3 linked regions of the Nothobranchius furzeri genome follow. The protein of the gene in region 1 interacts with the protein of each later gene in a pairwise test. Links are inferred from orthologs where the notes say so. Each region holds a gene or a part of one and is shown in the gene's direction. Other genes may lie near its edges. The genes, in order: insrb, sh2b1 and mad2l1.

Region 1 (11,161 bases):
CATCAAGGGGGAACAACTCGAAGGAGAGTAAGTTCCTCCCCTTTTACCTTCAGCTACAGTTTTCTATCGTTCTTTATGTTTAACTTCTTTATCGCCTTGTTTCTCCTTAGTATTTATGCCTTCTACGCACTGGACAACCAGAACCTCCGTCAGCTGTGGGACTGGTCCAAACACAACCTGACAATAGAGCACGGTCGTACGTTCTTCCACTACAACTCCAAGCTTTGCATGTCTGAAATCACCAAGATGGAGGAGGTAACTGGAACCAAAGAGCGCAACCAGAAGAACGACATTGCTCTTCGCACCAACGGAGACCAGGCTTCCTGTAAGAACCTCTGGAGCCTCTACTAACACATCCACCTCATCACTCCCTTTACATTTGTATTATTTTTCTACTTCAGTAACGTACCAAGAAACAAAAACCCATGAAACCTTAAAATCTTTACCCACAAGCTTAAACTTCATCCAGATTCAACTTGCTGGATGTGTCTGACGAGTTGTTTTGTCTTAGGCGAATCAAAGAGTCTGAATTTCACCCACGTTAAGACGTCACACAACATGATTATGTTGAAGTGGAACTCATTCTGGCCCTCGGACTACAGGGACCTGCTGGGATTTATGGTTCTCTACAAGGAGGCGTAAGTTGGATTCCTACACGCAAATGGCCCTGGAGTATAAACATTACACTTAATGCCCCCATCTTTGAAATGATGATGCTGAATGAGCTGGTTTAAACTTGGCTGCTTCTACTTCAGTCCGTACAGGAATGTGACAGAGTTTGATGGACAGGACGCCTGTGGATCAAACAGCTGGGTGATCGCAGACGTAGATCCACCAGCCCGCTCCACAGATGGCAAGAAGGCCGATGATCCTGGGCACCTGATTCGTCCATTGAAACCCTGGACGCAGTACGCCATCATGGTCAAAACCCAGCTGTCTGCTTCTGATGAGCGACAGGTTTATGGAGCCAAAAGCAAAATCATTTATGTCCGCACTAATGCCTCCCGTGAGTTCAAATCTGAGATTTTCTGCTTTTGTTTGGTGTGGTTCAAACTGTCCTAATCTCTGAACTGAAGGCAGCAGGATTAACCGTTTCTTTTTCCTCCAGGACCTTCTGTACCTCTGGACCCCATCTCATCCTCCAACTCCTCCTCTCAAATCATCCTGAAGTGGAAACCGCCAAACAGCCCCAACGGCAACATCACCCACTACCGGGTCATCTGTCGTAAACAACCAGAGGACAGTGACCTCTTTAAGTTTGACTACTGCTTACAAGGTTTGTCTCCAGCTGGCTCGGCCGCTGCTTGTCTCCATCTTTTGTCAGGCTTTCGCCTCACCCATGCTCCTCCTGTCCAGGGATGAAGCTTCCATCTCGAATTCCAACCCACCTCGACCTCGAAGAAGAGCAGAAATGGAACCACACGGATGATCCCACCTCAGAGGGCAAATGTTGTGCCTGTCCCATGACAAAGAGCCAGATAGAAAAGCAACAACAGGAAATAGAATACCGCAAGACTTTTGAGAATTACCTCCATAACGAAGTCTTTGAGAGCAGGTAAGCAAGTCTAGACACCTCAGGGTGAAGATCGCGTTTTAGCCGTCTGTTTTATTTTTGGAGAAGCTGCAATTTCACCGTTCTGGTCAGGGTGCAGCATTTACAGCTCGGTAACAATGTAGCACACACAGCGCACCCTAAAGGGGGTTTACAACTGACCTTGTGTTGGTGGTGGGTGTCATCTCAGCCAAGGTTCTTTTGTGTGTGTGTGTGTGTGTGTGTGTGTGTGTGTGTGTGTGTGTGTGTGTGTGTTTGTGTGTGTGTGTGTGTGTGTGTGTGTGTGTGTGTGTGTGTGTGTTGTGTGTGTGTGTGTGTGTGTGTGTGTGTGTGTGTGTGTGTGTGTGTGTGTGTGTGTGTGTGTGTGTGTGTGTGTGTGTTCTCTGTAGACCCTTGTTTTTGTACTGAACATCTCTATGGGGGCTCAGAATGGGAGGTTTTGTGTATTTGAACTTTAATTCTACACACACACACACACACACACACACACACACTGTCATTTTTTTCCTATCTGCCTCTTTGGGGGAGTGATTACCGTGCCCATTATCATCCACGCCGGTCAGAGAAGCAGTCATGCAGACAGCCCTTTGGAGACACAAACACCGCCTCACACACTCCTCAGATTCATTTTGATCCTGTGATTTTGAACTGGTCTTTGGTCCAAACAACCATCGCTGTTCTTTTTTAGTCCACTAAGCAAAGAAATCATCAGCTTCAACCCAGTCCTCCACCTCTCGGCACGCCAAGGTGTTAGTTTTTGATGGAGCTTTGAGCTGATGGCATCCGTGGTTTTAGTGAAAACTGCTGCTGGTGGAAGAAGTTTTGCTCACTGGCGCCACACAGCGGAAAGAGTTGTTTGCTCCACCAACATTGAATAAATGTCATGACCTCATCACTTGTTGGTTTCCCTTTATAGCTGCTCCATTTTTCATCTGCAAAATAACATTCCTGTCCTCTGATCTCAGCCCCTTGGTCTTGGATCTTATTCATTTTGATAATTTCTGTTTTTCATCCAGGTCGCCCCGTGAACGGCGCTCAGTGGACAAACCGGACACAACACAGTTTCCCTTATTTTTTACAACGATATCTAGTCTGCAGCTTGGCTCCACCACCGCCTCATCTACAGAGGAAGACGAGAACGAAGAGGGATCCAAGGTCTACAACACTGAATGAAATCTGTTATAGATTAGTGTTTGCCTACAAGTTCAACTAAAACGGCTTTTAAGTTTTTTTAGAAAAAAAAAATTAAAACACCTTGCAAAAAATTATTTTTGTGTAAAAGAGAAATGCTTTTTATCTGTATATATTTTGAATCCCATCCCATAATTTTCCTGCTCAGGTGGAGCTGAATGTTACCTCTAAGGAGTCAGCAGTCATATCCAACTTGCACCATTTCACCAGCTACACCATCGAGATCATGGCCTGCAACCACCCTGAAGACCCCAAACGCTGCAGCCTGGCGACTTACGTCAGTGCCCGAACGATGCCAGAAGGTGAGATATCAAACTATTTTTGCTTCATCTAAACATACAGATTTACTTTTAGTTTGATTTTGATCAAATGACACCCGCTTGTGCATTGGTCACATAAAAAAACACAAAGTATACCATCATCACGGGTGCAAAATGCTAGGTAGAGATCAGTTTGCTCAAATGTTTCTGTCTTTGTGTGGCTCTGGCAGAAAAAGCAGACGATATCCCAGGTCCTGTGACTCACGATGTTGTGGTCGCTGAACCTCCCTACGTGTTGATTAAGTGGAACGCGCCTCGATCACCCAATGGACTCATCATCCTTTACGAGGTTTTCTACAAGAAGGTCGGAGACACAGAGGTACGTGTCAACAACACGGTAACATGGAGTGCTCCTGACGTCAGGCATAAACCTTTACCCAAACAACGCAGATTAAAACTACACTACACACACATCTAATTAAGGACTCCCCCACCTTCGATAATTTGGATAAAACACACAAAACACATACCGACTACAAAAAAGGATACAAAGCATGCTGAGGAGACAGCAGGCCAGAGACAGATGTCTCCGTTTGCTCCTCGCTGAGGGTGGGTCCAGGCGTGTTTTAGGCCGATTGTGAACTGGGTGCTTTAGGGCGGAGCGAGGTAGAGTGGGATGAGACAGCTGTTGTAGAATAGCGCCTCTCAGCACAAGGATGAAATCAGAAGGGAAAGAGGAGCATGCACCAAAAGAAAAACAAATGGCTGTGGCCGTAACTGAGAAACTTTGTCAAATCTCATTCTGAATGCCTTCCTGTGCTCATCTCGGACTCTACTCGATGAGATCTTGGACTGCCGGACATCTAAGGTTTTGAGTAAAGGTGACGCCTGGCTCAGCTCACACCATCGGATCAGTCCGGACGTTTCAAAACAGAAATGGGAGCTGGACCTGGGTGTTGGATTGTCAGAAAAGGCCTGGCACAAGACGTGAGACACAGTATTATTTAGCTCAAAGTGGTGCACCATTTGCTTTGGTCCAAAGACAGACTGCAATAATGAAGCCAGACTTAGACCCAACTTGTTCTGGACCTGCCTGACACGACAGGGATATTGGAGGCCCAATTTTGATGAACTCTCTAGGATTTGTGCGACCACTGTGCACCCTGACCCCTTGACTGCTCTGTTTGTGGTGGTCACAGTGGACGATACAGCAGATGGTAGCCAACAGCACATAATAGCTTTATGCTATTTGTGAGCCATCCTGTCCGAGTGGAAAGATGCTCGGCCTCAACCACTTTATTGGAGAAATTATGAATCATTTGGACCTGGAGAGGATCAGACATGGTCTGAAAGGGTCAGCTGACAATTTTGATGTTGTGTGGCAATTGTTTGTCTCCTATTTTTAAGAATGTACCATAAGACAATTGGTGATTGTTTCTATTACTATGTAAACTTGTTTTTGTGTACACACTAACGCTTTCTAGTGGGTGGGTGTGTCCGTGTTGAACTTTGACTGTGTGTGCAACAGCATGTGTGTTCAGTGTTGTTGTTTACTTGCAGCAAATGTGTAAATAATCTCACTGCTATTCATTGCTGCACCACCATCAGCAACTCTGTTGCTATAGTAACAGAAGCAGAAGGCTCTAATGCAGCAGTGATGGAGGTGCATCTCCACTGCACTACTCTGAAAGCATTGCAAACTTTAGCTCTTTCAAACAACCGATGCATTTTTCATTTAGGTTATTATTGGTATAATTATGATTATTAAAAAAAATATCACTGGATGGGCAAAAAAAATGTGTCCATTTACTATAAATTCTACCAACTTCTCCATCAACTATAAAACCAAGCTGTTTTTCTGACTAGTATAAAAGAAACCAAACAAGTGACTCGGGTGAACAGCAGAAGTCAGACTAGATAGTCACAAAAAAATTTTCTACCTCATAGGTCAAGAGAATTATTGAAATTCAGTGAAGCATTTCCTTCTCACCTATTGGTGTTTTTAAAGCTGCGTACATGTTCAGCATATTTTGCTAAATGACCATTTCCATATTCTCTTTGCTAAATCCATTTTTATGGTTTGGGTGAAGTAGCTGCTTTTCCTGTCGCCCTCACTGATGCTAAACTGTGTTTTTCATACGTTCTTCCAGGTTCACACAGTTTGTGTGTCACGGCCGGCTTACGTCAACATGAGCGGGACCAAGCTCCACCTTGTTCACCCTGGAAACTACAGCGTGAGGGTTCGGGCTACGTCGCTGGCAGGAAACGGCTCTTTTACAGAAACGACGTACTTCTTCATGCCTAATCGTAAGACTGGAGACTCCATCTCTAACTTAACTAAACTTTTGGTATTTGTTTGCATTTGTTAAAGGGGACATAACACTTTTTGCATCTTTTTGTGCTGCCATGTGGGTCTCTACTGTCTTTATAAAAAATCCTAACATGGGGAAAATGTTTAGTTTTAGGAATTATTTGCCTAAAACAATCCGTTTCAAAAGGTCCCTGTTTGTGATATCACAAATGGGGAAAGTAGAATAGAACAGTTTCTCATGTGCAAGAAAGAGCTGCTGCTGGAGGAGCAGCCAATAGCATCCTGAGTGGGTGACTGGTGGGCGTGGCCGGTCTGCAGCTTGTTTTCTTAAAGTGACAGAGCCCTGAAAAGGCTCATTCTGGAAGTTATGAAACTTATCAGAATTAAAACCGCTGATATGGCTCTATGTGAGAGGGATTTTTTTTACAAAGAGCTTCATAAACATATTTTACACTGACAATAGAACTATTAGAACCTAATAAAAAAGTCCCAATATGCCTCCTCTAATAACCCACAGGCTACAACCTGGTTCAAGTCTATTTCACAAGTTTATTATTACATTTTGTACCTAATTTATCTTTTTCCACTGTGAAACTCTGCCGTTCTCCAGCTGAACTGACTCTTTGTTTACTGCAGCTGATCCGGGTTTAGCTTGGATTGTGATCGGCCCGATCATCTTGCTCATTCTGCTGCTGTTCCTGGCTGCTGGTGTCATTTTGGTTATCAAGAAGAGGTGAGATGTGACATCATCATCAAGTGTGCTGTTGTGTCGTGAGATCATTTACAGCATCTCAGATTTATTTTTTTTCCTGTGGTTGTGTTGCAGGCAAAGTGATGGTCCATTAGGAGATCTCATCACATCTCCAAACCCTGAATACTTCAGCGCCAATGACAGTAAGAGTCTTGTAACACAACTAAAACACATCTGAATACGTTTTCCAGCAAAATTTTGCAGCTAATGTCTAAAATTGAAATATACGGCAACCTGTTTCTACAAACACCGACAGCAGTTGAAGGAGCGTAAAGAGAACCAAAATCAAAAGAAATGTTAAAGCTGCTGCCTGTGGCTCATTTGCGTTGCCAAGGTAACCACAGTCTTGTGATACCCTAAAGTTAAACCTCAAACTAATAGTTGCTGTGCATAAACTATTGACCATCTTCAAAACGGTCGTGATCAATGAGAGGCGGAAGAGTGTGATGGTCGTACATTTATTAATGTTTGTGTCTGAGTTTTATGTAAGAGATACAGTTTTTAATAAAAAATAAAACTTAAAAAAAAAAAGGAATTTCAGGTGAACTGGAGGGTGTACACCAGGGCTATTCAATTCCAGCACGTTGTAGTGGTTTCTCTAGTCCAACCCACTAGAGTCAGTGGTTGAATTACCTACGCAGCAGCTCATCAGGCTTTGCAGAAGCCTGTTAATCGCCTACTAATTAAAATCAGGTGTGTTGAAGCAGCGTTAAAACCTAAACATGCTGGATACCGGCCGCCCAGGCCCGGGATTGAATCCCCCTGCTGTACACACTTAACTCAGAATTTTTGGGCGAAAGAAGTCAGAAATGTTTCACATTTAATGTGTATTAAAAACACCCGTTGTGTGTGAAGTTTAAGTTTTCAAATATTGAGGAAAGCTATGTCACATGAAGTAGAAAAATTTGCACCATAATCAAAAATTTGTTTAAAAACCATAAAACGTTTCAGTTCTGTTGTTTCTGATAAAGATCCTTTTCTTTTGTAAGTTACAAAAAGTCCTTTTTTCTCTCTATTTGTCTTCTCTGTTCAAGACACCCATAAAAATCTTGGTTTTTTTGTGCAGTGTACGTCCCTGACGAGTGGGAGGTGCCCCGGGAGAAGATCACGCTGCTCCGAGAGCTGGGCCAGGGCTCCTTCGGCATGGTGTATGAGGGAAATGCTCAGGACATTGTCAAAGGAGAGCCCGAGACGCGCGTCGCTGTCAAAACGGTCAACGAATCAGCCAGCCTGCGAGAGAGGATCGAGTTCCTGAACGAAGCGTCCGTCATGAAGGCCTTCAGCTGCCACCACGTGGTACGAAAACCCTCTTAGAACGTCCAGCGGGCTGCTGACTCACAGCACCTCACTGCTCTTTTATCCTTTAGCTGCAACCAGTGCGTGTCTCAGAGAACCGTGACTCACGTGTTGTGTTGGAGCTGCCATACTGACACACAGTTTGACTCCAAAACAAATGTTCACACTCAGTAGGCGATTGCGGCGGCCATTACTATTTCATTACACAAGCTACTAGGCATCAATTGAGCCAGCATGTGTTGTGCTGTCAGCTGTGAAAACATGTTGCGATGAGAGAGAATTTTATTATTTACCACCTCAGGAGGAGATAATTCATATCGGAGCTGTTATTAATTCATGTAGGAGCTTGAAAAGCTTTTATACTTAACACACACAGAGATTTCAGAGTAGAGGCCGTCCGATATATTAAATTTTTTCTATATCGGCTAAAATTATTTTTAAAAGCCAATAAAAACGTTAAAAAAATTAAGCAGGCACCTTTGTGGCCAACTGCCGCCACTACTATGCTGAAGAAAGGACCCGAAGAACCCAACACACCATTTCTTTAATGTTTTGATTTTGTTTTCTATTTGACGTTCAATGAATATAAAGAGATTTATTGAATATTTAATTTATATTGCACACGGTGAGTGTCCAGTTGTCTTTCACAATCAATGTGCTGCTAAAACGTATTTATATCGGCTTTAGATATCAGCAACAATATTCTTTAAAAATCAGCATCAGCCTAAAAAAAAAACATGTTGGTCGGCCTCTATTTCAGAGTTTCAGAATCATGTTGTTGTTAGCCAATCAGAGGCGAGATGACAGAATATCAGGAAATGAGAATCTAAATCCTGCCGCCTTCTGCTCATCTCTCCTCTGGTTCACGTCTAGTTCCTGAAACAGGAGCGCCAGAGCTTTTCCCCCCACACAGATCGACTCACAAGGCATTTATTTATATTTGGTCTTTAAAGCAGGCCTTTAAATGATTTTAAAACTAAAGAAACATTGTCTTGAGCTGGGAGGGTTTGGTGTGTGTCATGCTGCGACTTTCTGTTTTACAGGTGCGTCTGCTGGGGGTCGTGTCCAAAGGTCAGCCCACTCTGGTCGTCATGGAGCTGATGACTCATGGTGACCTGAAGAGCTACCTTCGCAGTCTGAGACCGGACTCTGAGGTTCGTTCTGGTTATCATCTAGTCAGGGTTAAATCGGTCAAAGCAAAATAAACTGAAACAAGATTGAAGGTTGTGATGTGTTCGCCAAAGGGTAGAAGCTGATTTTCCGTGTGTGGTTTGCAGAACAACCCATCCGGCTGCCCACCGCCCACTCTAAAGGACATGCTGCAGATGGCAGCAGAAATAGCTGACGGCATGGCCTACCTCAACGCCAAGAAGTTTGTTCACAGGGACCTGGCAGCCAGAAACTGCATGGTGGCTGAAGACTTCACAGTAAAAATCGGAGGTACGGCAGTCGTTTTGTGTGTTGTGTTTTTGGTTTTGAGGCAGATTTGGGTTTCAGAGTCGGTCCTGATGCATTGATCTCCTGCTGTCAGACTTTGGCATGACTCGAGACATCTACGAGACCGATTACTACCGTAAAGGAGGGAAGGGTCTGCTTCCCGTTAGGTGGATGGCTCCGGAGTCTCTGAAGGACGGAGTCTTCACGGCTCACTCAGACTGCTGGTACGCCACGCCTCAGCGACTTGCTGTGTAAGCTCTGTTATCCCGTCAGCTCACCCTGTCACCACGTTGTTGTGTGTGTGTGTGTGTGTGTAGGTCTTTTGGAGTTGTGCTGTGGGAGATCAGCACGCTAGCAGAGCAGCCTTACCAGGGTTTGTCCAACGAGCAGGTCCTGAAGTTTGTGATGGACGGAGGGTTCCTGGACCGCCCGGACAACTGCCCAGAGAGAATGTAAACACGGAATTTGTTCATTCATCCATTCTTTAATGAGGAGTCCTCGCAGTGATCTGTTTGAGTCTTTTCTCATTGTCTCGGTCTTCTGTTGCTAGGCATTGCCTAATGCAGATGTGCTGGCAGTACAACCCTAAGATGCGTCCAACATTCCTGGATATCATCGAGATGCTGCGGGACGACCTGCACCCATCCTTCCAGGAGGTCTCCTTCTTCTACAGCGAGGACAACAAAGTCCCCGAGACAGAGGACTTTGACCTGGACCTGGACAACATGGAGAGCATCCCCCTGGACCCTTCTTCTTATTCCCAAAGAGAGGAGAGCTTAGGCAGGGACAGCGGGCCATCGGTGGCCCTCAGGGGGAACTACGAGGAACACGTTCCTTACACGCACATGAACGGTGGCAAGAAAAACGGAAGAATCCTATCATTGCCCAGATCCAGCCCATCCTAACATTTCCTTATTCCTAAAAAAAGACTCGATTCACCTTTGCCCCCCTCCAGTTGAATTTTCTGTTCTTTTCACAGTTTTCTTATTCGTAGAGGAAGAAAAGACGCAGATCTCAGGACTTTTCCGTTTCTTCCTCACCGCTGTCCAAGACGGGCAAGCAAGGGATGCAAACACGTTTATAAAACTTGCTCCACGACACATCAGACTCTATGAATCTGTGGTGACACACAGCCATGTTTCCAGGACTCCTCGTGATGGAGAAAAAGTGGGGCGGCGTTTAAATAAATAACAAACTGAAAACTGTGAACACAGCAAACTTTAGCCAACCAGGACAGCTGCTCGTGCCACAAGACTTTCTCTGCATTTCCACGTTTCTGATTGTTTCTGTTCTCTCCAAACTTCCACTCAGATTGTGGCCTTTTCTACGTGGCCTGCAAAGAAAGAATCGTGTCTCTCAGCGTTCTTAAACTTGTTTCCTTTTTGTACACCTTAATCAGTGGGAGGACTTGCAAAGACTCAAAAGTAGAACATCTGATTCCTCCAATAAAGATTTTGTGTTTTTGGTTCTGCAGAATTCCAAACGGCACACAGATTAATCCGGTGTTTAGTGAATAGTTTTAATTTATTGGCTTCCCTTCCCTTCTTTTTTATTTCTCTGTCCTCATTATGTGGCTGAAGGATATTTAAACAATAATTGGACAAGAAAGAGTTCATCAGACTGACCAATAGCTGCTGCTTTCATATGGTTTAGTAGTTATAGACAAATCTAAATATATATTATATATATGGTATATAAGAAGTATGGGTGCTTCCCACCCATACTTGATTTATATACTGTATGATGTTTTTGTAAATACTGTAGTTCATATCCGTAAGGTTTTTCACCACAGCCTTTGCTAGTGTTGTTTGTTTTTAACCCCAGAAATCACACAAATCTACCGTCAGCGCTCTCTGCGCAAGTGTCAGACCTCAAGTTCCTGCTGCATCTGGAGGAGAAATCCCTCTTTTCATATCAGAGCAGTCACCATAGATGGAGGCAAAGTTCCTGCTGCAAAATCCCACCTGACTACAAATCAAAGGGTTATGAAGGGTTGTGAGCAGGGCCGGTGCACAGGTACCAGTTTGCGTTCTGACGTTGCATCCGTATGAGCGGTTTTTCAATCTGCTCATCAGAAACTCACAATCTGAGCGCACCCCCTCTCCTTCCACTATAGTCCTACATGAGATGAGTACCAAACACCTGGTATTCGAGTACTCACAAAGTTACCTGCATTCCTGGTTATGAGGCCTTTGGAGTGATCCAGATGATTTTTCTGCTGTCTTCCTCTGGTTGAATCGTGCTGGGGTTGTTTTTGTTTGCAGATAAAATCCAGTTAAGGTTACAGGTCGTGTGATTGGCTCTTTGTTTGAATCGGGGCAACTTGGGAGTGAATTGGTTTGATTTTAGATGTAAAGCTGAGA
Region 2 (10,081 bases), on another chromosome or scaffold:
GTTTTCCAAGTTAAACCTCAGTAATAAGATTTGATTAAAAGTTTTGTTGAAATTAAAATAAAATAAATAACCAGTGGTCATGACCATGAGCAGATCAGGAAACAAAAAACAACTTAAATTATGTGGATGACAAATAAGACAAAAATGATAGTTTTAATATTAGATGATAATGAAATATCTATTTGAAAATAATATTGTGACACTTCAGTATGGGGAAAAAACAGCCATGTTTAGTGAGTGACTTCTGAATCAGGTGGTCCAGCACCTGTAACGATCAACAGAGACTGAACCTGGACAGGTGTGAGTGGGCTCTTTACATGTGTGCTTCTGCATGTTGTTTAGACACAAGATTGGAGCAAAATCACATCACTTCCTGCTCCATCAAATGGCCCCGTCCCATTTTGGGTGAAACATGGAGTGAATGTGCTGGAATTAACAGTGACTACGTTTACATGCAGCCAATGTCCGGGTTAGGATCGGGTTAAGGTCGGTATTCGGGTTTCTGAGTTGATCAGAATAACCCGTTTACAAGCATAAATGGAAAGAGTTACCTCTAACTTGCATAACCCGATGTAAATGCTGACGTTGGGGTAGCGTCCGGACGTATGGACTACGTCAAGACGCAATATGCTTGTATATTTCGCTGTCTCTGTACTTTCGGCCGTCAACAAAAGACATAATGTTCATACTTTTCACCAGACCGATGAAGACAGAGGTTTCCTCGTCACTCCAAAAGTGTGGTGCTGTGCCGCGACTCGCCATGTTGCTCCCAACTTGTTGTTTACTTCCGGTGTTCTGGCGCATACAAGACGTCTCGCTACTCAAAAGACCAAGATTCCTTGCGAACAGAGCATGCGCAGAACACACACTTTGATGGGGATATCCCGGTATGCGTTTACACGACCAAACATTCGGGTTAGACAAGGGTTACCCCAGGTGTAGTAACCGGGTTATGAGCATATCCGGGTTTTTGGCGGTGTTTACACGGCCGTGCGGAACCGGGTTATTGTGAATATTCGGGTTTTAAAAGGGTTACTGGCTGCATGTAAACGCACTCACTGATGTTGTGCCTAAAAGGCTCGGTTCTGTTTTGCACAGGAGGAACGGAAATAGTTTGTTTCCTTCATTAAAGCAAAGGTTCAATAAATAAACAATAAAACCCGTTCTTTAACAAATATGTGGCGAGCATGAGGAAAGCCATTAGGTGGCGATGAGTGACCTACTGAACTTAAGTTTATTTTATAAAAATGTTCTGGTGCTCACTGATGTGGTCACTCACAATAAACACATGTCTCCCAAACAGGCGGTTTAATTTGGGCAATTCTTAACAAATGCCTCAGAAGTTTGTTTACGATCCAAGTGGAAGGGTGTTCTCAGCCAAGATGGAGCAGCGCTGTTGCCCAGGGGCTGAAAACCTGGATGTGTTGCTCCAATCAGTTCTGCATGATCCAACCCTTCTGAGTCTCATGAAGCCACATCTCATCCTGCTGGTCTCAGTAATCTGGACCACATCAGTCCTGAGTCCTGGAACAGGAGACGCCTGGACTTCTTTGTTGTTTCCTAAACCAGCTGCAGCTCTGTTGATGTGGCTGAACTCTACTTTTCTCATTAAGACATGTGCAAGGATAGCCAGTAGGTGATGCTGTTTGGTTTATTTTATAGCTAATCAGGGAAGATTTTTATTTTCAGATAATTCCAATAAAGGATTCCAACATGCTGGTAACTTCTTACAGGAGCAAGGGTTTGTCTGAGATGATATCTGTTGGATAACTAAACAGGAAGTCCAGTCACCTTCTACTCACGTCCTCAGGATTCACATCTCATATTTTTGTCCATACAGCTAATATTCATCTGCCTCATCAATTTTTCCACATTTCCTACATGAGACGATGTAAATCCAGTGATATTTCCCTCTGAAGCTTCTGACTTTGATCAGATATGAGTAAAGAAGCTCTCTGATGCGACTCCTGACTGTTTAGTTTCAACCCAGCAGCTTTCCCATCTGTGTAACCCATCAGTGCTCTGACCTCTCTGTTGTTGTCTTGTTGTATCCGTTGGCTCATCCCTTGCAGGCCGCGACAGGGCAGGCAGTCGGCCTGCAGTCTGTGATGTCATCACCACGCGCCATCCCGACTCTCCATCAACCCCCATCTCTGACTGTGTGTAAGTGCGACCGGACTATGCTGAGAGAGGATGAGTGTGTGGCAGTGAGTGACTGAGGAGGACACATTTGTCATTTAATCAAGACTGGTGATGTCTGAACCAACTAAACAAAACATCAGTTTGCTTTTAGCAGAGCAGGATTCAGCTCTGAACCAATCAGGTCAGACTTTCCTGCCCCACTGGAGCTGTTTATAACAGAGCAGAGTCCGTATGTGGGAAACGGTACTCTTGGGTTTTATGGCTGTTAAAGGATTTATTTAATTTTAAAGGCAGATTTTAATTAGTGTGAGCAAAAGAGGGTCTAAAGAAATGTATTTTTTCATTTCTACTTTGTCTTGTGTTGAAAATATGGAACTTCAAAAAAAACTTTTAAAGACAAAGTTCACTGGAAAACCATTGTTTATTTGTTATTTGTGAAATACAATCAGTCACTCTGGGTTTCACATGCAGGCTAAATATAAAAATAGTCCTGTATCGCTAGTGCCTGCATTACCCACCAGGAGAAGATGGACGGAAGTGCTTGGAGTATAAATGCCAGTCAATTCAACTTCATTGTAAGTTACCATTCATGGACTCGCCCACCTTGGCTAGAGGAAGACTGCTGATTTAGTGTTCAGAAGATGGCGGCGCACGTCTTGGCTAGTAGAAGCTAACTGTTAGCATTAGCAACTCCACAACAGAGCAGAACTCCTTCAAGCTTGTGTTATTTGTGGAGATAAGACATCAGCGAGTCAGTGTTACCCGTCTAGGAGGGCCAGGTTGTAACATAAAAATGGCTCAATCTTCCACCAGTTCCAAACCACCACAGCAGAATTCCGAGTACAATAATTTATTCACAAGATCAAGGCGATGAACTAAGGACGAGGGAGGATTAATAACTCAGGGTGAACCAATGCCTAAAACAATAAACAAAACACCTCTAACTTCAGAGTGACAACTGACCTACAAGCTTAAAGGAAATAACTGACAGCCAAACTTACCTTCCTGACTATCCAAAACAGGAGAAAACAGGAATGCAAAGAAAAAAGGCGGTTCACCCCTACAGAATCCTCAAATGGCAGGTAATAGTCACAAAAACACAAGGGCATCACACAAACACAGAGCATCAAGTGGTGGCTGATTGGAATGAGTGGAGAATGAAGAACCCAGCTGCATCTCATCAGGCTCCTTTTAACAGCTTTGCTCCAGCTGATCTTCCAATCCAAACGTCCCCTGGCCATCATCCACCAATCCTAGGAGGGCACCTGCACACTCAAAATAACACTTAAAAAAAAAAATAAAAGTACAAAAACAGAAGAAATAATGTTCCTTATGACCGTGGTCATAACACACAGTCACATTGCTGTTAGCCAATCAGAGGCGAGGTGTCAGAATATCAGGAAGTAAGACTCCAAATCCTGCCGTGTCCAGCTCACCTTCACTCTGGTTCACTTCTATTTACTGAAACAGGAGTGCCAGAGCTTTCCCCCCCACAGAGAATGACACAAGACATTTATTTATACTTGAGACCACTGCATATGCTTAGAAAATTGAGTGAGAGAACTTGGTCTTTAAAATTGAGTGAGAGAACTTGGTCTTTAAAACATAATAAAAATTCATCTTTAGGACGTTAAGGAGATGGATATTAATCCTAATATAAATCTGTTCTAAATTTAACTTTAAGCCAGTGACAAAAATTAGGAAAATAAAACATCCTTATTATAAAAATGGAAAATAAATTAGACAATTGTTTAAGTAACAAATGCACTGACTGGTTTTTATGGGTTAATATTGGTGTCGGTGAGATTTCATTTTTGAAAATTCTCAAATTAATTTGACTAACGAGTTTATGGCTGGATTGTGAAAACTGTTGCATGTCTGACACTTGAGAATATCTGATATTGTCACCGTGGCCGGGTTAGACAAAAGGTGTGTTTCCACTGTCGGAACTTCAGGGTAAATTTACAGAAACTTCCCGACATGCACATCTCAACTTGATCGAGCCAGCTGAACAGCCATTTTTCAGGCCATTTTCGGTAACTTTGTGAGTACCTGGTGAGGGATAGGTACTCGGAATGGCCTGGTAAAGTTGCTAAGTGGACCTTTTGGTTAACTCGTGCTAATTGGTTGTAGCTCAGTAGGGAAGGGCATCAGCAGACGCCATTCAAAAATGCTTTTTCACAGGTTTGCCTTTTTCAGCAAAACCTCTGAGGTAGAATGCTGCATGTAACCTTCGAGCTTCCTTTCCTCTTATCTTTTCTGATTTATGGAAGCTTCCATGTTTTATGACCACATTGTACCAAATGCAGATATATTTTTTTCAGGTAGACTGAACTGGAAATCAGCAGCAGGCGTCTTAAGAAAAAGTCTTTAAAGTGAAATGTGAAGCAATGAGGACAGATCCGAACCCTTGTGCTAAATTCAGGTCCCTGCTTACCTTTGGAGAAGTCCCGTTTTGTCAAACTCCAGATTTTGAATCTGGAGGTTTCTTGTCTAGTTCTGCGTTCTGCCCTATCAGCTCTAAAACCTTTATTATTTAGGACCAAACATTTAAGTCGATCTAGATTGATCTAATAAGCTGGGATCCTTTATTCTAGTTTACGTGTACGTTAGAAAATCAAGCTCTCAAATGTTCATTCCACTCCTGTACCGTAGGTGGCAACATGCGCGGGTTGGCAGTCTTCCGGTTAGCTTATAGGGAGCCTAAGTCTCCTCCCTTTCCGGTTGGCTCATGGGTCCCCGCAAGAACGAAAAAATGAATGCAAGTCAACGGGGCAGTAAGAGATATCCGCTTTGCCTTACGCCCTGGATCGCGCATACATGTGTTGTACTTCTATTCAAATGAAAACTACTGATGGGTGTTTCGAGCACGCCAGTCACTTACTTTGAGATTTATCGCTTGTAAAAGTTCGTAATTAGCATGACTAGGTTCGTGGCATAATATGACGTCACCACATAATCTCCTCTCCCCTAGCGCAGCGGCTACTTACCACACGGCCGGGTTATTGGTGGTCCTTTCCTCCTGAAGGAAGGATTTGAAGTTTGCTGAACTTACAGCCATTTTCCGTCTGTTTTTCTCCGTGTCTGGTTCGATGACGTCACTTTGGCGATGCGCATTTGTAGTCCTGGACTTATTTTCACACACAACCTAAAATAACGTTACCCCCGTTCAAAAATGAGCGTGTTCTTGGTATAAAAATGTCTAAAATTCATGGACATCATGTGTGAAATTCATAGCACATAGCAAACAGAATTAAAAACAACAGCGTGTTTAGCCCCATTGACTTGCATTCATTTTTTCGTCCTTCTGAGGACCCACGATGCGGAAGTAGATGGGCGTGGCCTAGGTTCCCTTTAGCAACTTAAAGTAATCAAACGCTGGTGAGAGTGAAGCAGGCAAAGTTAAAGAGGATGTTCACAATGACCACAAACGGACAACAACGCTGCAGCACAGCTCATTCGGTGCGTACTGTACTGTGTGATGGTGTTACGCATGTTACTTAGTGGCGATGATCTAATCAGATGGCCGCTTCTGCGGTCTCGTCACTTCCAGAAGTTACCGGTATCAGCTCAACTGAGCTGTTTACATCCAGATGCAGCTTGTTTCCTTCCTACCGCATTATCTGCTGGAGATCGTTGTGGGATGAAGATGGAGCCCCAGGTGTTTGTTTTTGTTCAGTTGTTTCCATGAAGTCCATCATCACAAGGCTCTTTCACCAAACCTGACTCTTTCATTTCATTCTCCAACCTCTTACCCTCCTGTCTTCTGACTCCTCCTCTCCTCGCCGCCTCCTTCCTTCATTTACACTGATTTTCTGACCTCTCCCGCTTCTCTTGGTAGACTTGACCAGCAGACCCCGTAGTCCACCTCAGCCTCCTCCTCTACCACCAGGACGCCCGCCTCCACCAACTCCACCCCAGGAAAGAGGAAATGAGCCAGAGCTGGGAGCAACAGGAGGAGCAGCAACAGGAACTGGAGGGGGAGGAGCAGCAGCAGCAGTAGGAGGGGGAGGAGGAGTGTCTGCAGGGATGGTGGCAGCCACAGCAGCTGCAGCTGCAACACCAGGAGGAGGAGGTGCCAGCAGTGGAGGGGGAGTAGAGGACTGGGAAGACAGGGACACTCCTCTTCGCCAGTTGGAAGCTGTAGAGGGTGAAGAGAGGGAGGGTGCAAGGGCCCCTCGAGCCATCGATAACCAGTACTCCTTCTACTGATGGAGTGGCAGCCGGGAGGAGGTGGAGGAAGAGGATGTTTGTGTGGTTTTGTGTGTGAGAAAGTGAGATTGGAAGAGGCGGCGTATGTCATAGCCATTCATAACCAGTATTTTTATTTTGCTAGTGAAGAGGAGGAGGTGTAAAAGTACTAACACTATACGAGACTGAGAGAGGGCCGGTGGGAGCAGCTTTACAACACTAACTAGCCGTACATTTCTTTACTTTTTTAGCCAGATAAGCTTTGTTTTGCCGGTGCGCCTCTCAGAAAACTCTTCATCCTAGATGAGGACTCTGGAGTCAGCAGACCTGATACCTCACAGTGGTCCTGCCAAGACAGCACATGTTAGTCAGAGGCCAAACACTCTACAGATGTTTCTACTGTGGCAGAGAGACCCAAAACGTTACACCTACACTGAGCCGCGGTGGTGATGCTCCTCAGAAACCGCTTCAGGTCACCACGCAAACACCACTTCTCATGGGCTCGACACACGGGAGGCGACAAACGACCGCGATCAGCGAAATTTGTTGCCGTCGCTTTTATTACCTGACACACGGGAGGCGATCCACGGCAGCGGCCAGCGGCAAAACCGTCTACGCGTTCTGTTCCATGGTGAAATCGAATCTTCCGTTGTTTTGATTGGCTGTGTCAGGTTGGAGGTAATTGAGGTTATTTAAGCGGTTCAGAGTTAATAAAGTGGTAGATATGTTTCACAAGGTGCTGCTCGAGTTACTTCTGATTTTACTATAAAACATAATAATAATCAACTTCTCCTTCATGTTTGCTCGGAGATGTATGGAGCATCCTGTCCGCTCATTGGTCAGTGAATGAAACCTCGGTTGATTGGTCCTCGTCCGAGCGACAGCGATGAAAAGTTGAAAATGTTTCAACTTTCTGGGATTGCGTCGCTGGGTTGCCTGTGCACGACATGTGCACGAGCGCAAAATTTGACGCGTGTTTTTCGCGTTTCGCTTGGTAGGAGGGAGACCCGCGATTATCGCTTTGTCGCGCATGTCTCATTGAAAATGAATGGAGGAGAGGCGATGTAGCCTCCCGTGTGTCGAGCCCATTACTCTGAGGATGAGTAACAAGGCTCAAACTCCCAATCCATGCCTCATTTCTACGTTTCCTAGACTTTTGTCTTCATCGGTACTAATCCAGCTGTTCTGAAGGTCTTCCAGTTTCATTTTTGGGAGAATTTGGCTGATGTTTTTTAGTTCGTTTCAGTTTTTGTTTCAGATTATTGATGGATTTTCAAATCCTTTGTGTGTGTGGAGAGTTAATTTTTTTGTTTAAGACTAGTTTCCACCTCAGAACAATGCTGCTGATTGCTAAGTTTCCAGCTTATGGCTTTGGACTATAAAGAATAGAACAGCAGCCCAAATCCAAAGAGGAACTTTAGACCCTCATAAAGTCTGGAGACCTACTGATCTAGATTACCAAGGTCTGGCTGCTGGTTAGGAAATTCTAAAGAAATGAGGACTGGATCTGGAGTTTAATCCATAAGAGTTCACAATGTTTACAATATTTAATAGTTTTTTTCTCTTTTAGATATTTGAATTGCTAAATGGGTTTGTGGTCTCCTTTAGTCAGAATACTTTTATCTGTTCATAGAAACAACTAAACTTCAGTTTAATAATTCAAATAAAGATGTGAAAAATACACAGAAATGTAAAAAGTGAGAGAGAAAATGGATTTCCATCCTCCAGAAGGACAAATGCATTTAAAAAACGTCAAATATACAAATAATAAAACCCTCTGAAATAAATAGGAAACTTGGCTCTGAGCTGCCAGCTGAAATAAGGCATGGCAGCTTTATTTGTATGAATACATACACAGGGGCAATTCAGTGTGCTTTCCAGTAGCGAGAATAATGTAACGTTAAAATCAGCGTGACGGCACAATTGAAACAAATTTCAGATTTAAGAATCAGAAAAAGGAAAAAGTTAAAAGGTGGGCGATTACAGTGCAGAGGGTAATTAAATAGGCTGATGAATACATGAAAGTTTTCCGTTTTGATTTAAAAGTTACTAGAGTTGGGGCTCATTTGAGGTCATGAGGAAGCTGATTCCATGTGTGAGCAGCTTCACCCTGTTTGGTTCTGACCCGAGTTTCTACCGGCCGACAAGACCATTCCTGTGAGCGGACGAGTTTAACTGAAATAAAGCGTTTTATTTCTGGGTATAAATTCAGGCTATAACTCATATTTAAGATGAATGACATCTCACTAGAGCCAACAGTAATATTTATTATACACTGAGCCTACCTTTGCTCTCATAGGTTTACAATAGCATGATATGGAACCTTTAAAATAGGAGCATCAGCAGAACTTATGCTCACCAATTTCTTTGTTACTGTTCAGAAATCTGAAACTGTTCCATCTTTGTCTTTTTCAGAAACATCTGAATTTTCTGGCTCTCTCAGACGGCATTTGATTAAACAAGCTTCATCTGTTTTTACATGAATATTCACGGATCCAGAACCAGTAAATCTGGTTTAACTCCGAGTTACCCTCCAGCTCAGAGATCTGAGTGTAAGTGAGTTAATCTGGAGATAACCTGGTCTCTCAGGCTGGTGATCCAATTTGTTATACACGACTCAATTAAACCTGTGAACTCTTCATAGAGTTGGTTTTATTGATTTGATTTGATAAAACTTTTAACATTTCAAGGATTTACTCATAAATGAAGTTAATTATTACAAATGATATTACCAATTAAAACCATGCAGTCACTTTTAAGTATGAGTAAATCATCACTCCCTATTTTGATCAAGTTCTTTGGTATATTTAAAATTAAATAAAAAGGTCAAGAGATAAATGTTTTAAGGGCTTTGACTATTTAAATTTACTGGAAAAGATTTGAGTTTTATACTTTTGCTCATTTAAGATGACACATTTTTTACACCACACCCACGAATGTTTGACCATTGTGAGGAAAAATAAAATGTGGCGTGTTGACGTTGGACAGTGTGTTAACGTTTTGGGTCTGCAGTAGGAAGGAAACCTTTACCTCAGACTCACTCAGCAGCATCTCTCAGTACTGATATATGTCTCTCCTCTGTTTCTGACTCACACAAACCCTCAAGAGCAGAGCTGTGCTTTCTTTCAGAGAGAAACGATAAAATAATGGAAATAATAGTAATAACGATGGTCAGAATATTAGTATTAAATGTGTTTTTGACACTTGTTTTTTATTTTGTATGCCTACTCTATGTAACACTTATTCCAACTCCATCTCAGTTGAAATGTCTTTGTGCCTTTTTTATTTTGGGGATGAAAAGAAGGAAAATGGTTAAAAGGTTTTTTTTTTTCTTATTTTCACTGTGACAGTTTTCCCTCACTGTTCATGTGTTCTCCTCCTCGAACTCATCCTGCATTCATCAGGAGTAAAAAATAATCTAGCAGAAAATGTTGATAGCTACTTTTTTCTAGTTGTGCCTTTCTCTGTGTGTGTCTGGTCATCAGCCCGTCTCGGTTTAGATCTCCGTGTAGCTGACCTGCTCGTTTCTGAAGGACTTTTCTTTGCTCGTCATGTATTTGTCTCCATGCACATTTTAACCTCTGGTCTTCATGTTCTGTGTCCTTTTCTCATTTTAAAAACTCTCTGTGCCTTTCTCTGTCTTTTCTCTCTTTGCTGGGACCGTGTGTTGAGGGCAGACAGAACTTTCTGTCCTACCTGTGTGGTTAGTTTCAGGTACTACATTGAATTTAATGATAATGATATAATA
Region 3 (10,247 bases), on another chromosome or scaffold:
GCTCAACTGGATCAAAACGGTTCAAACACAGATGAGGTTCTACTGTTACCTCTGATGCTGCCTCACTTACTGAGGAAGAAGAAATCGCATTAGGGAGGATGCTAAAGATTTTGTTTCTAATAGAATTAATTTTACTTGTAAAAAATCCCATGAAGTCATTGCTGCTGAGGGCTAAGGGAATAGATGGCTCAGAGCTATGATTCTGTGTAAGTTTAGCAACTGTACTGAAAAGAAATGTAGGATTATTCTTATTCTCTTCAATTAGCTATGAAATATAAGCAGTTCTAGTTTGTCTAAGCTTATTTTTATAAAGCACAAGACTATTTTTCCAGGACAGGTAGGCCTCCTCATGGTGCGTAGAGCGCCATGTTCTCTCCAATTTCCTAGAGTTTTGTTTTAAAGCTCGTAAATGAGAATTAAACCAGGGAGCCAACTTCCTGTCCCTAATTACCTTCTTTTTTAAAGGGGCAACATCATCTAATGCCACACGTAAAGAGGAAGTAACATGATGAACTAAGGTATCAATTTGTGAGGGGCTAGAAATGAAAATATTGCCCTGTGCTACATGCCTCTGAGATGCTGAGGACAGTAAAGATGGAACAGTTGATTTAAAAGACGCAACTGCGTTGTCAGATAGAGACCGACTATAGTGAAATTTACTTTCATGTCTCGAGAACTCAACTCAAAGGTTATCAGAAAGTGGTCCGAGAGGACTGGATTATGTGGAAAGATCGTTATTTCCTCACACTCTATGCCATAAGTCAGCACAAGGTCTACTCCCTTCTGGCTAAACTCTTTCTCTGCCGTAGAAACTAGGGAGAGAGGTGCAGATTATTTAATCCGGCCTTCATAACAACCATTTACAACTATTTTATTTAGTCACTTGTTGGTTTGAGTCTTTACAGTGTTATAATTCTCCTGTCACAAGGTTCAGCTGTTTAAAGAGTCGGTGCAGGAAAATCCACCTCAGGACCTGCTTTTGTCCTCACACGCTTTAGCTGTTGTGTTCAGGCAGTCATTTAAACTCTCTTATAAAAAGACGGAGGTCAGACAATAAGCCGGTGACTTCATGGGAAAAACACTTTATAAGTTAAAATAAAATAACTTACATACAATAAAAACTAGATACAAGGATTAACCATCCATCCATTGTCCTCCTCCCATCTGGGCTTTGGTTGCAGACGTGACCCTGTGTGGATGAGCGGATGCAGAAAGCGGATGGCTCTACGGTTACACTTATCTACACTGCCCTCTAGGGGCATACAGATGTAAACGCAGCACTAGGGCGTGATCGGCACAAAAACGCGCATGCGCGTAGTGTCCAGCTGACACATTTTCAAAGTAGACGGCGGGTAGTTGAGTCGTACATAGAATCAGCACAAAGCTTCCTCGAGGAAAGCCAACCAGTAGCAGTTGGAAAGATGACCAGCACGCTGAAGGGAATCACTCTGAAAGGAAGTACAGAACTAGTGGCCGACTTCTTCTGTGAGTGTTCATGTCTCTGTTCCGCCTTTTGAACGCCGTTGACACGACGCGCAGCTAGCATGCTAGCGGGCCTCGGTGTGGCTCACCCAGCGTTGCAAGCTAAAGTCTGGTAAAGGGATACAAACGTGTTGCCTGAAGGTTTTTAAACAGGTCGGTGCTCTTACAGGTAGCGTTTCTGATATTTAGCATTTGGTGTAACTTTAACGTCAGTTGAACGTGTTGGAGGCAGTCCGCTCCGCTGGTGCAGAAATCCCGTTGAAAGACGAAAAAGAGCTCCGTTTACAGGTAAAACTGCACTGTTCTTGTGTGGCTTGTATGCCGAATCGATTAGAAGAGCGACATCAGTTAAATATATCGTGCTCTTATTCTACAACTTGTGTATATTCCTAGCAATCTTTGTGAAAGCTACATTTACCCGTTTAATGGACGATGTTTGGTCCAGGATGGAGTTGCTTCACACTGAAGATTCTTTACTCTTCATATTTAAATATTGCATACTTGACTCTTCCTATTCTAAACCAATCTCTGCTCACACACACACACACACACTCAGGTGCAGCAAATACAACGTACAAATGTTTTGTTTGTTCACAAAGATTTTAAAAGTTTAGCATAAAATAAGAAGGCAGGAAAACTTAAAATATGACTAAAAAATCCCTAAAGTAAAACGGGGAGTGGCCCCCTTATATCAGTTTTCTATTGGGCCATTCCCATCTGTACCAGGCCGGGTAGCCCCAGTCGGCCCCAGCCTGGCCCGGTTGATTCCACACATCCTTGCCTTAAGCCCATGTGGGCTGATTCTACCCACCAATCAGAGGCTTGCTCTAATGGAAGGTGTGAATTTGCTGTCAGCAGTGGGTGTGTTGGCCCTGGTCGGCCTGAAGCAGACCCCCTCGAGAAGAGGGCTGAGAATGAGCCTTGGTTGGCCCGGAAACATACCAGGCCACCCAGATATGTAAACAACCTACGCTACCCGGGCCGACCCGGTACAGATGGGAATGGCCCATATTTCTAGTCACAACCACCATGGTATACAAACACGTCGGTCTTCGTTCTGCAGAAACTCTTTACACTGACATGAGTCATAGGTGACTCGCTTTGCAGCACAGATGATGAGTAGACAAGCTTTAGTTTGACTGCTTGAATCAGAGATGTGCAGATGTGATTAACAGGAAACATTTCCCCCTCATTAGATCGTCTTATTCCTGTAATGAAGGGTTCTTGTGTTCTAAAACATGACGTGAAACTGCCCTCTGTTCTCCTCAGCCTTTGGCATCAACAGCATCTTGTATCAGCGGGGCATCTATCCTCCAGAGACGTTCTCCAGAGTCACACACTATGACATGAGTCTGCAGGTCACCACTGACTCCAAGCTGAAGAACTACCTGACCAACGTGGTGTCTCAGCTCAAAGGTAATTAGCTGACCGACCAACTCCGACTGGAGCTTATGCGTCCTCAAAGAGTGCCCAAACAGAGGTCAGAGGTGTGTTTGACTCGAGGGAATGCTCCTCTGTTCTTTGAGCTTTAGGCTCCACCCACATTTACCTTGTTGTTGAATCTAGGCAGCTTGGGGTCTCTACTGTAGCGTACCAAACCCAGTTGTGAAGCAGTAATGTTGTAATGGCCACGGAGAAACCGTTCGCTCTGAGACGAGCTTAGAGACGCCACCTTACATCTGCATGTGCCAACCCGCGGCCATGCTAGCTACAAATGTTTCGGTAAGCTTACCGCCGTCCGTTATTTCTGTTTATGTGGAGCTGAGAACCGACCCACTCCAAAACCAGATAACAGGTATGGGTGCCTGCAGCGGCCAAAAGGCCTCAGAAACTACCATCTGCTACTGTCTTTCCCTAATCAGTGATTTCAGCCATGTTTGCCTTTCTAACTGTAATAACTCTGCTGTATGACCCACGCCAGCATCACCTACTGTGGTGGACGTATTCATGCCTTCAAATGAGCTCATGTTGTTTTCACCTGGGCAAGAAAAACAAAATGACCAGATAATCATGACATGTCCCACCTCTTGTATTATGTCCCCCAAGCTAGACAGGTGTTGTCAAAAAAATCGATACCTAGATATAAATTGATACTAAAAGTGGTATCGATATTATAGACTATTATACACAGCCTTCTTCAAGTACACCGACACGCACGACATCCAGATGCCGTAAAGCAGCCTCCCCTTCCCAGACAAACAGAAGAAGCTGCCGCATGGCTACATTGCAATTTCCCACGCGAGTTGTCTCCGATCCAAGTTTTGTCTGCCAAATAAATAAACAAAAACATAAACATCAAATTTGGGAGGTGCTTCACAGCCCAACTTAATTAGCATACCAAATCCGGCACGTAGTTGTGTATTCACGCTTATGTGCTTAAAGGAAAACTCCCGTTTATTGCAACCCGGACTTAATTCTAGCATGCAGTACGTTTGTTTACTCACGCTGACAACTTTGGTGCTGCTTGGATTCCCCGGGGTATTTAGATCCATTAGCGAATCGCCATCAGTGTATATCCATATAACGGGAGCGGACAGGCACCCATGGTGCAGCCTCGAAATAAGACATTATCTGCACCAAAACATCTCAATGTCGAAAGTTTTTTTTTTTTTAGGAATCGTTAACATGATTCCCCTGTTCGTTTGGAGCGAGTCTGGGATTTCTAGGTGTAAACAGACTAGCTGCGGCTAATCTAACCGGCGCTTTTAATGATGTCACTGCCGTGCGCCAGTCTGTTTTTATTAAGATTACCGGTAGATGTACCTTTGTCCTGCTGTGGAGAAATTCGTTTTCTCCCTTTATTGACCAACAGAGTTGTTCAAAAGTACAGAACAAAACATATGGCATTACATCTTATGACAAAAATGCACCTTAAACAGAGTTTAAGCAGCAAAACATCACTCTGCATATAGTGTATATATAGTGAGACAATTCATGATTTAAAGTGTTAACTTTCGCCAGTTTTTGTATGCAAGTTTAAAAAAAATGCTGATACTTGAAAGGTTTAAGCTCTTTACACACTTAATTCTTAACATTTAATTTTTGTAATATAAATTGAGGAATGTTACTTTTTGAATAAACTTGTTCAATAAATTGGTGTTTTTAAATAGTATCGAAATCGAGTATCGAATCCCCCCCCCCCCCCGTATCGAATCGAGTTTGAAATTTTAGTATCGTGACAACCCTACTAGAGACAGGTGTTAAAATGAGAGTTTTAACCATGAACTGCCCCCGCGCGGGGCTGCTTTATCAGAAGCCACAAACATCGGTCGTTTGTGTTGCAGAGTGGCTGTATGAATGCACCGTGCAGAAGCTGGTGTTGGTCATCACGTGCCTGGAAACCAACGAGGTGCTGGAGAGATGGCAGTTCGACATCGAGTGTGACAAGTCTGCCAAGGAGAGCAGGTCTGCTTTCTACTGGTTTTACTAGTGCTGACTGGATGACTCGTTCAGAGGGTTTGTTCAGTCCAACATGTGGGCTTGAGTTCAGCTCCAGTCTGTGTGTAAACGGGTCAGCTGAGTCTGGTTCTGCTCCGGATGGGGCGGTTACCTTAAATTGATGCTTTAAAGGTGCAGTATGTAAGAATGTAGTGATAATTTTACAGTGAGAAAGTCCTAAGAGTCTGATGTTTCAGTCATTTAGGAAGGAAGGTTCTACTGAAAAAATTCTCATATCCAGCTGCTGGATTGTCCGTTTTTCTCCTTTCTAAACAAAGGAAGGCTGAACGTAACTACTGTGTACCATCATTGAGTGGGGGGCGTGTCTCCTGCGAGCTAATGCTGCAGCACCAACATTTGTAATTTGACGATGGCCACCAAAAAGCTCCAGAGTTGTTTGAAGTGGTTGCAGTAATCAGATTTTACCACAACATGTCATTTTTACTTAATTTCTACATAATGCACCTTTAATCCAGCCTGCTGGTACCTTCATTCAGAGATGGTTTAGGTCATTTGGCATTTTACAGTGAGACTAATTTGGTCAGAGTCCGGACTTCTGCCCTTATAGCCCTTTATAAGTTATAACCCTACGCTGTGTTGTTGCTAAGCCCGCTCCGTCGTTCAGCATCAGTCAGTAGCAGCGTCAGACACCGGCTTATGTACAGATGTCACTCACGGCGTACGTGAGCGTGCGAGGATGTACCTGGACTGATGCAGAGGTAGTGGCGTTTCAGCACTCATTCCTGAGTTGGTGTTTGTTCCCAGCGCTCCCAGAGAGAAATCCATTAAGACCATCCAAGATGAGATCCGCTCCGTCATCAGACAGATAACTGCTACGGTTACTTTCCTCCCACTGCTGGAGACGCCGTGTGAGTAACACACACACACACACACACGCACGCCAAAACAAGACGAGGCTGGTTCTCTTTCCGAATCGGGGTGGCGAGATCCTCAATTTTAATTCTGACCTTTGCCTTCTTGGCTGCAGGTGCCTTTGACCTCCTGGTGTACACGGATAAGGACCTGGTCGTTCCAGAAAAGTGGGAGGAGTCTGGCCCACAGATCATCGACCAATCAGAGGAGGTGCGTTTGCGCTCCTTCACCACCTCCATTCACAAGGTCAACAGCATGGTGGCGTACAAAAGGACCGACTCCGCCTAAACTATGAGCTGTACATCTCACACACACACACACACACCTTATAGTAGGTAACAGTGGCTTCTGGGGCTCTCTGTCCTCACAGTGGACATGTTTTCTTTTCTGAGTTTTACTTTGTCTCGTTTGTGAGAGGACGTGAAAGGATGCTGCTCACTCCTCTCTGCTGTAAATATTTGTCAAAGTTGTTTTCTTTAATGTTGTCGCTGACGTCACCAACCGTTGTTTTAGTGATTTGTACGTCCGACCTTTTAAACTGTCACAAATAAAGGCCTTTTGCCTTTCCTCCTGTCAATGGCGTGCCTTTCTTTTGTGACCACAAGGTGGCAGTGTGGTGTAGCGTGTTGTGTGCGTGCAGGCCAACAGACACCACAGAAAAGAAGTTTTATTCTTTATTCAGCCACTCTCTACTTGGCTCACAGTGGTGTGGACAGAAGAAGAACGTCCCTTTCTCCATGGGACCATATCAGCTTATTTCATTCAGTGTCTACAGAAATCCATCTTTAAAAACAGCTCTTACATATGAAATGTTTATTTTAAACATGCATGAAATCAACCTGAAGATCTCTCGGTGAGAAAACTAGATTTTTAGAAAAAGCACAGCCCTGGAGGCTACAGAGTAGCACGTGGCCATAGATACAAAGGAGCGCATGTACAAAGTGCTTCAGTTGTGCTGCGAGAACGCCACGAAGTGACCGCTGCTCGTGTGCGTACCGAGAATTCTGGAGATGAGAACGATCATCTCAACAGTCTAAAACGAACAGCGCCGACGTGGGGTGTTTTAGGTAAGGTAGGACTTAGTTTTAACAAAAGTACATTCAATGTTGTGTAGTTGCCTCACTGTCAATCCTGCATCCTCATCATGGATGAAGCTGCTGCGTTGTTACACCGTCTACCTGTGACTCATCTGGGTATCAAACTGTTCTAAATTCAATAAAATCACCAAGTTCCCTCGTCCATATCAAATATCTTCTGGTGTTAAAGCTCACACAAGCAGGTAAGGGAGGTTGTTTTGGTGGGGGGAGTCCCGATTGTCTGTGCTGTGGTTACTGGTGAAAACTGTAAAACCTGCCCAGTTTTCACCAGTAACCACAGTACAGAGACAACTGGGCAACTGCAGAGTGATCTAACGTCTGATCTAGAAAAACTCCAGCGATCCTTGAGGAGCCAAAAAGATCTGCCTGTACATCCACATGCAAATGGGGTTAGCCATGTTTGATGACTTCCTGCACAGGGCTGGATCCAGAATGACTAAAGACCAGACCGATCGGAGCGATCACTGGTGAAGGCCTCACTGAACATTTTTTTGTGATGTGTATTTGGTCATGTGACAGTGGTTGCAGGGGCGTGTCCAGATCTTTTAAAACGGGGTGGCCCAGGTGAGGCACAACTTTGTGCATGGGTGGCACCAATGGTTATGCTTTTTTTGTTTTACCCCCAAGCCTTTTGTGGACAATGAAAAGCCTATTTAGAGGTAAATTAGTGTGTTAGCACCTGGGGTGGCATGTGCTACCCCAGGCCACTCCCTGGACACGCCCCTGAGTGGTTGTAATCATCTCAGAAGTGTAAATGTGTGTGTACATAACGTAAATTCAACTTAAATCATTTTCATACTAAATCTGATTTTAGAAGCATGTCAGTATATCGGCTAATATCTTATCGGCCATAACAGTGATATTGATATCGGTGCATCCCTAGTTTAAATGTCCCTTCATCTGTTGGTGTGCAGCTAGAGTACTAAGCTGGAGAACTAATCAGACCTTCTCAAAAACAGCTCTAAATGTAACAAAATCTCACTGAAATCTTGAAAACATTTTACTCTTTCCTCTAAAATAAAAAAAACGTATGACTTTCAGTCAAATTAACTTTACCGATAAAAAACGCATCTGGTTTCCTGTTTTACTAAAAATGTTTAGTGTGGAGCAGCATGGGAATGGAAGCCTTTACCTCAGCCTTACATGATCAATCGTAGCAGTGGAGACATGATCTGCTCCTCCAGTTGGTTCTATTGTATAATGGTATGACATGCTGTTCATCTGAATGAGCTGTTCCTAAGAAAGATCCTGCAAAAGGTACAGGGAGACTTGTTTTGTAGTATTAAAACTATGTTTGCTGTAAGAAGTGCTGCTCTTTTCTAAAGTATACTCTCACAATATAGAAAATCTAATAAATATATAAAAAGAATAAATACACAATAGTTAAGACAGTGAATGTATAAAAGACTCAAACCCATATAGTGTGCGTGGACAGACGTCTAAAAGCGTTCATATGAGTGACACAGTGTGACGTGTACAGTAAGTACATCGTAGTGATCCCACTCATGATTCTGATCCATAAAGGTCAGCGGGACCAGCCAAGGAGGTGAAACTTCAGAAAGAGACACTCGTGCAAAAAGACAACAGCTATGGTATTAAATACAGCTTGGTGCTCTTACAACGGGAAATGGTTCAAACTAGACCCTGATCTTGAGTATCAATGTACATTTTGTGACTGCAACACATTGGTGCCCCTTGTTAGCTAAGACACTTTTAGCTTCTAACAAAATGGGGTTTACATTTGTATTTAGCAAAAAATGCACTCGTCTAAACCAATGGGACTGGGGGCTTTGCTAACAGCTAGCTGATGACAACATGCTAAAAACATCACCATGCAAATCAGAATCTACCAGGGTGCTTTTTTCTTCCTTGTGTGTTCAATGATGTCAACATAAAAACAATGGACCATAAACCAACCACAGCATTAGAAGATGGTCAATGGACATGGGAGTTTGGTTAAAGGCCCATTAGTCATCACACACACAGGTCAAATGTTTTCTCTGCATCTGACCCATCCTCGGGGGAGCGGCAGACATGGTCGCACTTGAAAACTATTTGGTGGTGCTACCCCCCCAATCCACCCCTTAATGCTGAGTGTCGAGCAGAGGCATTGGGGATCATTTTTAAAGTCTTTGGTATGACCCGCCTGGGATTTGAACCCATGACCTCACGGTGGACACTCATACCAGTAGGCCACTGCTGGTTAAGAAGTCCGTTATTAGTAAATGCTATTATTGTGTTTGGTACCCGAGGCCAACAATAATAGAAAGAACTACTTGGTTTTTGCTGCAAAGTCAGCCTTCACAACGCAGCAGTTAGATGAGGAAATGTCTGGACTGAGGGTAAGAGAAGTCCGTGCTGAAGTTTGCCACTAAAATGTTTATCGGTAGGCTGAGCACCAGACTGAAGTAACTGTCCAATGGCCTACAAATCTAGACAAACCAAAGCTAAACGATTTAGCTCTGCATGTCTGTCTAGCCACGCTCCACTCCAGCCTAATCAAACACAAAATGTCAGCGGCGTGTTGAAATGACATTGGCATCAACCTTGGACCACTTAGACGTGGGCTTTTCTTTGAGTCAGGAGCAGATAGATGTCCCTCATTTAGAAAAAGGATGTATTTGTGTCTTCTTCGACAGTGTACGGTGGACTTCCGCTGACTCATTGTCCAATAACAAGACTACTGTAGGTCCCGCCCCACGACTGAGCTTTCTCTGTGGGGTGTGACTAGACTATAAATTCACATATATAGGATGGCTTACCAGGCTAACTATCCACAACTTTGAACTATGAAAATAAGCTAGCTGGTGAAGTGATGAGAGGAAACAAATCTCCTCAAATGCAGCCCCCGATAACCATAAACGTTGCTTTTGTCTTGTGATACTTTTGTCATCTTTCTGTCCTTTTGGGGACGATTAACACAGAACATTGAAGTAAAGTTTTCAGTTTCTACAGCAGTAGAGGAACCTGGTACCGAGTGTATAAAACATCTAGACCTGACAGTGATAGACATCATATAAAAGCATATCAGATGTTAGCATGTCTGGTAGCATTAGCTGCAGTCCCACTGATTTAGAGAATGAACCAATAGGCTTTCACCTTATTTAAAGTTGGGGTACTTTTCAAGATCACTTTCTGCACACCCAGCATCTCATATAGTCATTCTAAAACATCCTGCTAAAGTCATGAAATCCTGCGTAAAGACTTTAGACCAGTAGGATCCCCAACGTTTGCCAGAAGCCATAATGGATTTTGGGTCACACTAGACCATTGACCAGTCCCTTCTCACAGTCCTCAGCCAGGCACTTCCAGTGCTGTCGGTTCTTCTGGCATCCCTCCAGCAGTGGAGAGCAGTAC

The links.
Region 2: the proteins of insrb (region 1) and sh2b1 interact in binary tests that used the Homo sapiens proteins (3 or more experiments, as listed by UniProt). The link is inferred for Nothobranchius furzeri from reciprocal best matches to the Homo sapiens genes INSR and SH2B1.
Region 3: the proteins of insrb (region 1) and mad2l1 interact in binary tests that used the Homo sapiens proteins (3 or more experiments, as listed by UniProt). The link is inferred for Nothobranchius furzeri from reciprocal best matches to the Homo sapiens genes INSR and MAD2L1.

What each region holds. Positions count from the first base shown.
Region 1 is NC_091748.1:58,176,984-58,188,144, forward strand, and holds the end of insrb (insulin receptor b), read left to right. Parts: coding exon 1-27; intron 28-110; coding exon 111-325; intron 326-511; coding exon 512-638; intron 639-755; coding exon 756-1,006; intron 1,007-1,108; coding exon 1,109-1,276; intron 1,277-1,356; coding exon 1,357-1,555; intron 1,556-2,568; coding exon 2,569-2,707; intron 2,708-2,891; coding exon 2,892-3,045; intron 3,046-3,233; coding exon 3,234-3,382; intron 3,383-5,153; coding exon 5,154-5,310; intron 5,311-5,950; coding exon 5,951-6,047; intron 6,048-6,140; coding exon 6,141-6,208; intron 6,209-7,131; coding exon 7,132-7,361; intron 7,362-8,404; coding exon 8,405-8,515; intron 8,516-8,638; coding exon 8,639-8,801; intron 8,802-8,892; coding exon 8,893-9,022; intron 9,023-9,115; coding exon 9,116-9,250; intron 9,251-9,348; coding exon 9,349-9,703; 3' UTR 9,704-9,927; downstream 9,928-11,161. UniProt on the Homo sapiens protein: Receptor tyrosine kinase which mediates the pleiotropic actions of insulin.
Region 2 is NC_091745.1:16,803,967-16,814,047, reverse strand, and holds the end of sh2b1 (SH2B adapter protein 1), read left to right. Parts: intron 1-2,072; coding exon of another isoform or gene 2,073-2,163; intron 2,164-5,983; coding exon 5,984-6,354; 3' UTR 6,355-6,558; downstream 6,559-10,081. UniProt on the Homo sapiens protein: Adapter protein for several members of the tyrosine kinase receptor family.
Region 3 is NC_091743.1:87,151,165-87,161,411, reverse strand, and holds mad2l1 (mitotic spindle assembly checkpoint protein MAD2A), read left to right. Parts: upstream 1-1,284; 5' UTR 1,285-1,421; coding exon 1,422-1,485; intron 1,486-2,751; coding exon 2,752-2,898; intron 2,899-4,766; coding exon 4,767-4,887; intron 4,888-5,685; coding exon 5,686-5,789; intron 5,790-5,908; coding exon 5,909-6,081; 3' UTR 6,082-6,370; downstream 6,371-10,247. UniProt on the Homo sapiens protein: Component of the spindle-assembly checkpoint that prevents the onset of anaphase until all chromosomes are properly aligned at the metaphase plate.